Linked DNA regions of Canis lupus familiaris. The protein of the gene in region 2 interacts with the protein of the main gene of each other region in a pairwise test. Links are inferred from orthologs where the notes say so. Each region holds a gene or a part of one and is shown on either strand. Other genes may lie near its edges.

Region 1 (4,224 bases), on a different chromosome or scaffold from region 2:
CCCTATACCTCCAGGGCACACACATTGGAGGTCCAAGTCCTGTGGACACAGTTCCCCTGGTTTCACCAAAGCTGGTGAGAAGCCTCAGAACATGGCTTTCTGCATCTGGACAGGATTCAAACTCAATGCAGAAGACTCACAGGATGAAAAGAAGGGGTAAAGGGGTGAGCTTGTTCATCCAATGCCCTCTGAATATTACTGGAGTTGCCAGATGGCCACCTGATGATTTTATTTATTTATTTATGAGATAGAGAGCAGGAGCAGGGGGAGGGCAGAGGGAGAAGCAGACTCCCGGCTGAGCCAGGAGCTGGATACCGGCTTGGCTGGATCCCAGGACCCGGGATCACGACCTGAGCTGAAGGCAGATGCTTAACCGACTGAACCACTGAGGGGCTCCTCCCCAAGGTGTTCTAATTACTGAGCATCTATAATATATTGGAGTATCTGACAGTGCTAGCTCCCCATCCTTGTTCATTTTCAGATCCTGTTTGTTCCCTGAATAGCCTTGTTTATTTTTCCATTTGAATTTTAGGCGGGAACAAAACAGGGTGGTTTAACATACACACACAACCTACTGATCCTATTATTACTTTCATGGGAATTATGTTAAATTTATAGTTGTATTTAAGGAGAATTAAGATGTTTATATTGGGCCTTAACTATCCAAAAACATCATTCATCCCATTATTTGACTTAGTTTTCCTATCTGTAAAATTGGAGTAATAATACGAAACTCGTAGGGCTGTGTCTTCAGAATTAAGTGAGGAAATGCTCATGTTAAAAGTTGCAAAAATGAATTCCTGCTCTGCGCCTTGCTCGCCTACCAGCTCAGGCTCGGCTACTGGACTATTCTGAACCTTGGTCCTCCCATTTGCAAAAAATGAGGATAATAACAGTATCTGCTTCATCAGGGCTGTAATCGAAGTCAAATTAAAAAGACAAATCGAGGGAGGATTCACGCCAAGGGCTCGGAGCACCGCCTGGACCCTAAGCGCTCAGAATATTAGCCGTTCCTCCCAAACAACAGGCTATCCCAGAGAACCGCGACGGAAAGGACGGGCTTTCTGGGACCCACCCAGGGTGGAGGGCTGTCGGGGAAACGCTTCTTTCCGAGAACCGACCAAGCCGCCGGTCGCCGGCCCCCCGCCCCCCCGCCCCGACTCCGTCCGACGGCAGCGGGACTCGAACCCGCGACCCCGAGCGAGCCCCCGCCCCCCCCGGCTCCCGCCCCGCCCCCGGGGCCGCGGCGCTGCCACGTCTCGCGCGTCCGGCTCTGCGTGCGGGAGGGGGCGTGGCCAAATGCGGGCCCGCCCCGGGATCGCCGTGCGGCCCCGGCGTGGCGGAGCGCCGTGACGCCACGAGGGGGCGGGGTCGAGACGCGCCCGGAAGTCCCCGGGGAGGGGCGTGTTGCGTATATCCGGCGAGTAGCTGGCGGTCCCGGGTGCTGCTGGGCTGTGTGCTGTGAGGGAGGGTCGACGCCGCCCGCCGCCCGCCGCCCGCCGCCCGCCGCCGCCGGAGGAGCAGCCCCGCCTCGGCCGTGAGCAGGGGGGCTGCTGCAGGGGAGGGAGCCGAGGGCCGGCGGGGCTGCCGCGGACGGCGGGGAGGGTCGGGGCGGAGGCCGGCGCGGGCGGAGTTGGGGGGGGAAGTGACACGCAGGCGGTTCTGCGGGGCCGCGGGGCCGGTTCTGGGCGGGGATGGGCCGCCCCGGCCGGGCCGCCGCGTTCCGATAGCGCCCGGGGTGCGGGCCGGTCGGCCTTACTCGGGGTCCCGCAGCCGCCGGGCGGGTGACCGTTGTGTGTCCCGTGCGCCCGGGTTTGCGGAGCGGTGGCCCGGCCCGGCCCGGCCCGGAGAGCCCCTAGCCTGGGCGGGCGTCCTGATGACTGTGCGTGGCCTGAGCCCGAGGGGGAATCGCGAGGCCCCGGAGGCTGTGCCTTGGCCGCGGCCCCGCGGGTCGCAGGAGGAGCTCGGGGGGTCGCTCCGGGGCGCGCCCGGCCTCCCCGCCTTCGGCCCTGAGTTCTCGTCCGCGAGGCCCGGGTCGAGCCGGTATTTCCTCCCCCCACCTTCCTCTTTTCTGCCCTCTCCGGTGCGTGGGAAAATTCCTCCGCGCGTTTGTAGAAGTCCGCGCTGGCCGGGGTCGTAGCCGAGGCCAGGAGCGCGCTTGCGAGGGTTGGCGCCCCGCGGCCCTCGGCGGGAGTCTCCCCCTTGCTCTCGTCCCTCCTCCGTCGGCCTAGGCCGGGACTGGGGGCTTGACCTTTACTAGCTACCCTGCAGCTCGGCACAGCTTCTTAGCCGAAAACCTGCTGTCCCTCCCGGGTCGGCCTGGAGCGGTGTTTCAGAGCCGTGACGAGTACGTGTAGGAAGTGGGAGCGTGTGCAGAAAGGAACGTACACACTGTTAGTGGCTGATGGTCGGTGTTGCCTGGTGCCCCTCTTTTTTTTTTTTTTTAAAGATTTTTATTTATTTATTCTTGAGAGACACACAGAGGCAGAGACACAGGCAGAGGGAGAAGCAGGCTCCTCGCAGGGAGCCCGACGCGGGACTCGATCTCGGGTCTCCAGGTCCACACCCTGGGCCCAAGGCCCGCGCCCAACCGCTGAGCCACCCGGGGATCCCCTCCTCTTCTTTATCTACTTCAGTCCTGAAAATTTGCGAATTTTAATTTGGGGTACATTGGCAGTGCTTCTGTGGTAGTTTAGAGTTCTTAAGTTTTAGAGTATGCTGATTTGCCATAAGATGCCATGAAGTGCCTTAAGGTGATAGAGTGGATCAAGGACAGGGAATAAATAGAGTGCTAATTATCAAAATACCATCCATGGGACACCTGGGTGGCTGCATGGAGCCTGCTTCCCCCTCTGCCTGTGTCTCTGCCTCTCTCTCTGTGTGTGTCTCTCATGAATAAATAAATACATCTTTAAGAAAAAAAAAGTGTAAAACTACTCACGAGGGGTACAAATCCTAAGGTCTCAAGGATGGAGGAGCCTCAAAGCCATTTCTCTGACTTTGAGGGGCAATACAACGCAACGCTTTGGGTCCAATAGTTTTTATGATTTTGTTAGCATCACCTGAAGAGTTTCTTCAAGCACTTTTCCATAGATCGTTTTGGAGGGAAGAAATATAGGACTTTTATTTATTTATTTTACATATTTTATTTATTTATTCATTCATGGGAGACACAGAGAGGCAGAGGGAGAAGCAGGCTCCCTGTGGGGAGCCCGATGTGGGACTCGATCCCAGGACCCCGGGATCACGACCTGGGCAGAAGGTAGATGCTCAACTGCTGAACCACCCAGGCGCCCCGAATTATAGGACTTTAAAGCAGAAGTGTCAAGGGAAGATAAATTGGAAAATCAGACCAGCTCAGTTCCCGTGAAAAATTCCTCAAAGGAGGGTTTTCCCGGGCAGCCCCGGGTGGCTCAGCAGTTTAGCGCCGCCTTCAGTCCAGGCCTTGATCCTGGAGACCCGGGATCAAGTCCCACATCGGGCTCCCTGCATGGAGCCTGCTTCTCCCTCTGCCTGTGTCTCTGCCTCTCCCTCTCTCTGTCTCTCTCATGAATAAATAAATAAAATCTTTTTTTTTTTTTTTTTAAAGGAGAGTTTTCCCATTGTCACCCTTGGAGAATTCATTGGGTTTGGAAGAATTCTAAAATGATGTGGTAAAACTTTACGGTATCGACCACAAACCAGTGTAGTACAAGTAAATATGTAACAATGGGTTTTAAAGGAGTGCCCGGAGTGGGAGTGATCTTAATCAGACAGAGGTCTCTGTAAAGATGAGCCACGTTTCTCCAAGTTGTAGACTGAGAAAAGTAGGGAAAGATGCCTGGTTTGGGAGAATTGTAGAGAAGAGGCACATTGTTCCTTTACTTACCTACAGTGGGAATTTAAAAGCAGGAGCTTTCTACGTGTATTTAAGTCATTAAACTTTTTAAAGTGCTAAGTTTCAAGACAAATTATCTAACATGCTAAATTGGTTTCTGCCAAAATATATCTTAATGTTACTGAAAAAAGCAAAAAAAAAAAACAAAAAAAAAAACCCCACGACCCCATAGTATCTTTTTATGAAAGCTTTTGCCTTAGACTCTCACCCAAACTCCCAAGCCTCATTTGGTCTTCTGTGATAAGAGCCGTAGAAAATAAGCATTAAACAGTCCCAAAAGCCAATAGGTCAGGCTTGATTTAAAAAAAAAAAAACAATCAAAACCCAGTAATTGGACAGAAAAAAAA
Region 2 (4,209 bases):
TGGAAGGGGAGGAGGGCGGGGGTGGGAGTGAATGGGTGATGGGCACTGGGGGTTATTCTGTATGTTAGTAAATTGAACACCAATAAAAAATAAATTAAAAAAACATCCTGGCTGTTGTACTGTAGTTTTGCAAAATGTCACCACTGAGGAAAACAGTAAAGAGTACACAGGAGCGGGATGCCTGGAAGGCTCAGTGGTTGAGCGTCTGCCTTTGGCTCAGGGTGAGATCCCCAAATCCAGGACTGAGTTCCACTTTGGCTCCCTGAGGGGAGCCTGTTTCTCCCTCAAGTACATAGGAGCTCTTGTATTATTTCTTATACCTGCATATGAATCTACAGTGATCTCAATAAAAATTTCAGTTTAAAAAAAAAAGACGGGGGGCAGCCCCGGTGGCTTAGCGATTTAACACCGCTTTCAGCCCGGGGTGTGATCCTGGAGACCTCGGATCGAGTCCCACGTCAGGCTCCCTGCATGGAGCCTGCTTCTCTCTGTCTCCGTGTCTCTCATGAGTAAATAAATAAAATCTTAAAAAAAAAAAAAAGATGGGTTTCTATGACATTCCCTGTGTTCCCTCATTAGTGAGGACCTTTGACACATGGACAGGTAGGTATAGTGGAGAGCATCTTCTCATATAACACAGACCTAGTACATTGGAAAGATTTTGTGACAACTTGCAAGTGTCACAGAGCCAAGAACAGAAGCCAGGGCTCTGGACACCCATTCCTTCATGCAACTATTTATTTACATGAGTAACTAGATGCCTCAGAAACTTAGAATCTAGGCCCTGGGCAACACTCAGACCAGTCTTCTCATAGTAGAGAACACACAGCACAGAAGGTCCTTCCCTGTCCTCAGTGAAAGAAACTACAGGGTCTCTGGTTGCGAGCCTGAAGGCAAGGAGGGAGACCGACAAGGATTAAGGAGGCCAATTAGGTTTGCCCACTTCATGAGACTGCTCAGACACCAAAGCTTCTAATGCTCTTCCTAGGAGGAAAGTGAAGTGTTTGGCTTGACCAAGATACCAGGATTAAAACTAACAGTAGGGGACCCTGGGTGGCGCAGCGGTTTAGCGCCTGCCTTTGGCCCGGGGCGCGATCCTGGAGACTCGGGATCGAATCCCACGTCGGGCTCCCAATGCATGGAGCCTGCTTCTCCCTCTGCCTATGTCTCTGCCTCTCTCTCTCTCTCTCTCTCTCTCTCTCTGTGTGTGACTATCATAAATAAATAAAAATTTACAAAAAAAAAAAAACTAACAGTGTAAGTATAGTGATCTGTATAGTGATCTGGGCGCGGAGAGGGGCTCAGGTCAATGCTGTGGGGTTGAGGATTGCAGGAGCTGGTGCCGTCCAAGACTAAAGCCGCAGAAAACTACAACTCCCGGCGTCTCCCGCGGCCGCCGCAGTCCCGGCGGTCATGTGACGGCTGCTCACGTGTCCCTGCCGCCGGCTCGGGTGTGAAGCGCTGTAGGTAGGTGGCAGGAGGACTGTGGAGGGTGGAAGCGTTCAGTGTCGGGGCCCCCGCTGCGGTGGGGTCCTGCCCACTCCCTGCAGGGCTCCGAAGCCAGGCGTCCTCGGCCTCCCGCCCGCCCTCGGCCAGCTTGGCCCCGCCGCAGCCCCGACCGACTGACTCCGCCTAGTGCTAGGCCCGGATCGCGTCCCAGAGCGCCTTCCTAGCTTACCTCACCGCAGCCCCTTCGCCTTGCTTCGGGCCTGGGCATCCTACCCTCCGGGTACGCCCTGACCCACCTCCCTATGCAGCCCACCCCGCGTATCTCTGGGATCCAGCCCCCCGGCTGTACAGGGAACCCGCTCCGATTGGGATCTCCGGGGGCCCACGGCAATGGTTACAGCTCTGGCCTGAGCCTGTGCACATCAGGCTTCTAGTTCTGGTTCTGCCAACTACCTGCTGTGACATTAGTCTAGCCCTTTTCCTTCACTGGGCCTGTTCCCCTGACCTATCTGGTGCTCCCATTCTGTGAGTTAGCGTCAGAGCTGCTCGGTTCCCTTCACTCTGCTGACCAGCCCAGAAACAGCTCAAACTCTTCCTCCTGCTGACAGCAGGTTTTAGGTGAAGTTTTGAGAAAGAATAAATTGGTGCCATAGAGGGAAGTGAGGAAAATCAGATCCCAGATCTTTGGGGAGAAAGACCTGTAAGGAGCAACACACCCTCCACCGTAGGCCATCAGGTGGAAAAAGCAGGTAAGCTGGGGGTTGTGGAGCTGAGGATGTTTTGAGGAAGAAGAGCTGAGAGCTCTTGGACCAGTGCTGAGACTTCTGTGTCTGAGATGTAAGCGGGGTGAAAGCGGAGGTCTCACAGCTCTGGGAGTGCTGACTTTGCAAGGCTCTCCTTGGAGCCAGATGGAAAGCTGGGAGCCCAAATCTCTACCTCCACTACTCACAGCTTTGATTTTTTTGGCTGAGTTACTGGTTGGGTAACAGGTTGCATAGGAGGAAGCCCTGTGGCATCAGATTGATATTTCTGGACTTGGAGGCAGCAGAGAGGTATTTCCTCTGGAACTGGGTCCCCTGGTTGCATCCTTGGTGACAGTTGTCTGAGAGCGCCCCCACTCTTCCTTTTCCCTCTCACGAGTGTACGATTCCTACCTTTGTTCAGCCATCACCAGAAGGAGAAATAGGAAGCATCTGACTACCTACCTAAGCTTCTCATTAGCCATTCTAAATGTATTGAGGGCATCAAAGGGATGTCTCTCTGATGGGCGGTGGTTAGATCAGTGCTGCAAGAGAAGAGTGAGAATTAGCCTTGAGTTTTGAAGGACTTCGAAGGCTATGCAGAATTTAGAGTCTGGACCAGAAAGAGGTATGTTGGACTGTAATTCACTGAAATAACCACAGTTGGGACGCATAGGTGGCTCGGTGGTTGAGCTTCTGCCTTAGACTCAGGTCATGGTCCCAGGGTCCTGGGATCGAGTCCCGTGTCGGGCTCCCTGCAGGGAGCCTGCTTCTCCCTCTGCCTGTGTCTCTGCCCCTCTCTCTCTATCTCTCTCTCTCTCTCTCTCTCTCTCTCTCTCTCTCTCTTTCTCTCTCTCATGAATAAATTAATAAAATATTTTTTTAAAATACCTACAGTTCTAGCTGAGGGCTGCTCTTGTGCAACCTTGTGAAGTGGAAACAGGCTGGGAAGCCAGATAAATTTAGATCCAAATCCTGCTCTTCCTCTTGCTAATATGTGACCCTAGGTCAGCTATACAATCTCAATGAACCTTAGGACCACTGTGGTATGGGACACCTGGGTGCCTCAGTGATTGAGTGTCTGTCTTTGGCTCAGGGCATGATGCTGGGATCAAGTCCCACATTGGGCTCCCCGGGAAGCCTGCTTCTCCCTCTGCCTATGTCTCTGCCTCTCTCCATGTCTCTCATGAATAAATAAATAAGATGTTTTTAAAAAGGAAAGAAAAAGGACCACTGTGGTAAGGACTGAATGAGATAAGATATGTCTACGATACTCCTGCTTCTCTGTAGTGCTATAGTGTTAGTACCCCTCTCTTTAATGTTTATGTCTTATTGACCCTATGGGTCTGTAAGCCTGAAGCAAGCAGGATTTGCAGAGGATGTATTTCTGTCTCTGCCACCCTTCACTGTGGTACCCACTGCAGTGTTCTGCACAGAGGGACACCTGGGTTTGAATCTCAGCCATCTGACCTTGGGAATGTTGTTTCAGCTTTCTGTGCCCATCTCAGGATAACGGTAGTACCTGTCTCCCATCTAGGTTGAAAAGAGCTGGAGCTCACAGGCCTCCTAGGATAATAGTCCCAAACAGGCTGGTGCTGGTCTCCAGCTGAAGGCGTTCCCTCAGCTACCCAGGAGATGTGGTTGTGAGGCCAAATCCACAGACCCTGCGAGAAGAGGGCTCCCAGGGCCATGGCCCAGGTCAGCATCAACAGTGACCTTGGCGAGTGGGGCTCGAGCACGGACTCTGGGGAGCGGGCCCGTCTGCTGCAGAGTCCCTGTGTGGACACAGCCCCCAAGAGCGAAGGGGAGGCCTCTCCTGAGGGCCTGAGTAGAGGCACCACTTCCACAGTGGGGGCCATCTTTATCGTCGTCAATGCCTGCTTAGGTGCAGGGCTGCTCAACTTCCCCGCGGCCTTCAGCTCTGCAGGGGGTGTGGCAGCTGGTGTCACGCTGCAGATGGTGAGTATGCTGGCCCTTAGGGTGGAAATGCAGGTCAGGTGCTAGGCCAGGGCTCTGTACC

Evidence for each region.
Region 1: the proteins of SLC38A7 (region 2) and SAR1A interact in binary tests that used the Homo sapiens proteins (3 or more experiments, as listed by UniProt). The link is inferred for Canis lupus familiaris from reciprocal best matches to the Homo sapiens genes SLC38A7 and SAR1A.

What each region holds. Positions count from the first base shown.
Region 1 is NC_049225.1:21,863,862-21,868,085, reverse strand, and holds the start of SAR1A (GTP-binding protein SAR1a), read left to right. Parts: upstream 1-1,424; 5' UTR 1,425-1,537; intron 1,538-2,161; exon of another isoform or gene 2,162-2,347; intron 2,348-4,224. UniProt on the Homo sapiens protein: Small GTPase that cycles between an active GTP-bound and an inactive GDP-bound state and mainly functions in vesicle-mediated endoplasmic reticulum (ER) to Golgi transport.
Region 2 is NC_049223.1:57,267,993-57,272,201, forward strand, and holds the start of SLC38A7 (putative sodium-coupled neutral amino acid transporter 7), read left to right. Parts: upstream 1-1,405; 5' UTR 1,406-1,467; intron 1,468-1,473; exon of another isoform or gene 1,474-1,729; intron 1,730-1,739; exon of another isoform or gene 1,740-2,198; intron 2,199-2,613; exon of another isoform or gene 2,614-2,817; intron 2,818-3,726; 5' UTR 3,727-3,878; coding exon 3,879-4,148; intron 4,149-4,209. UniProt on the Homo sapiens protein: Symporter that selectively cotransports sodium ions and amino acids, such as L-glutamine and L-asparagine from the lysosome into the cytoplasm and may participates in mTORC1 activation. The transport activity requires an acidic lysosomal lumen.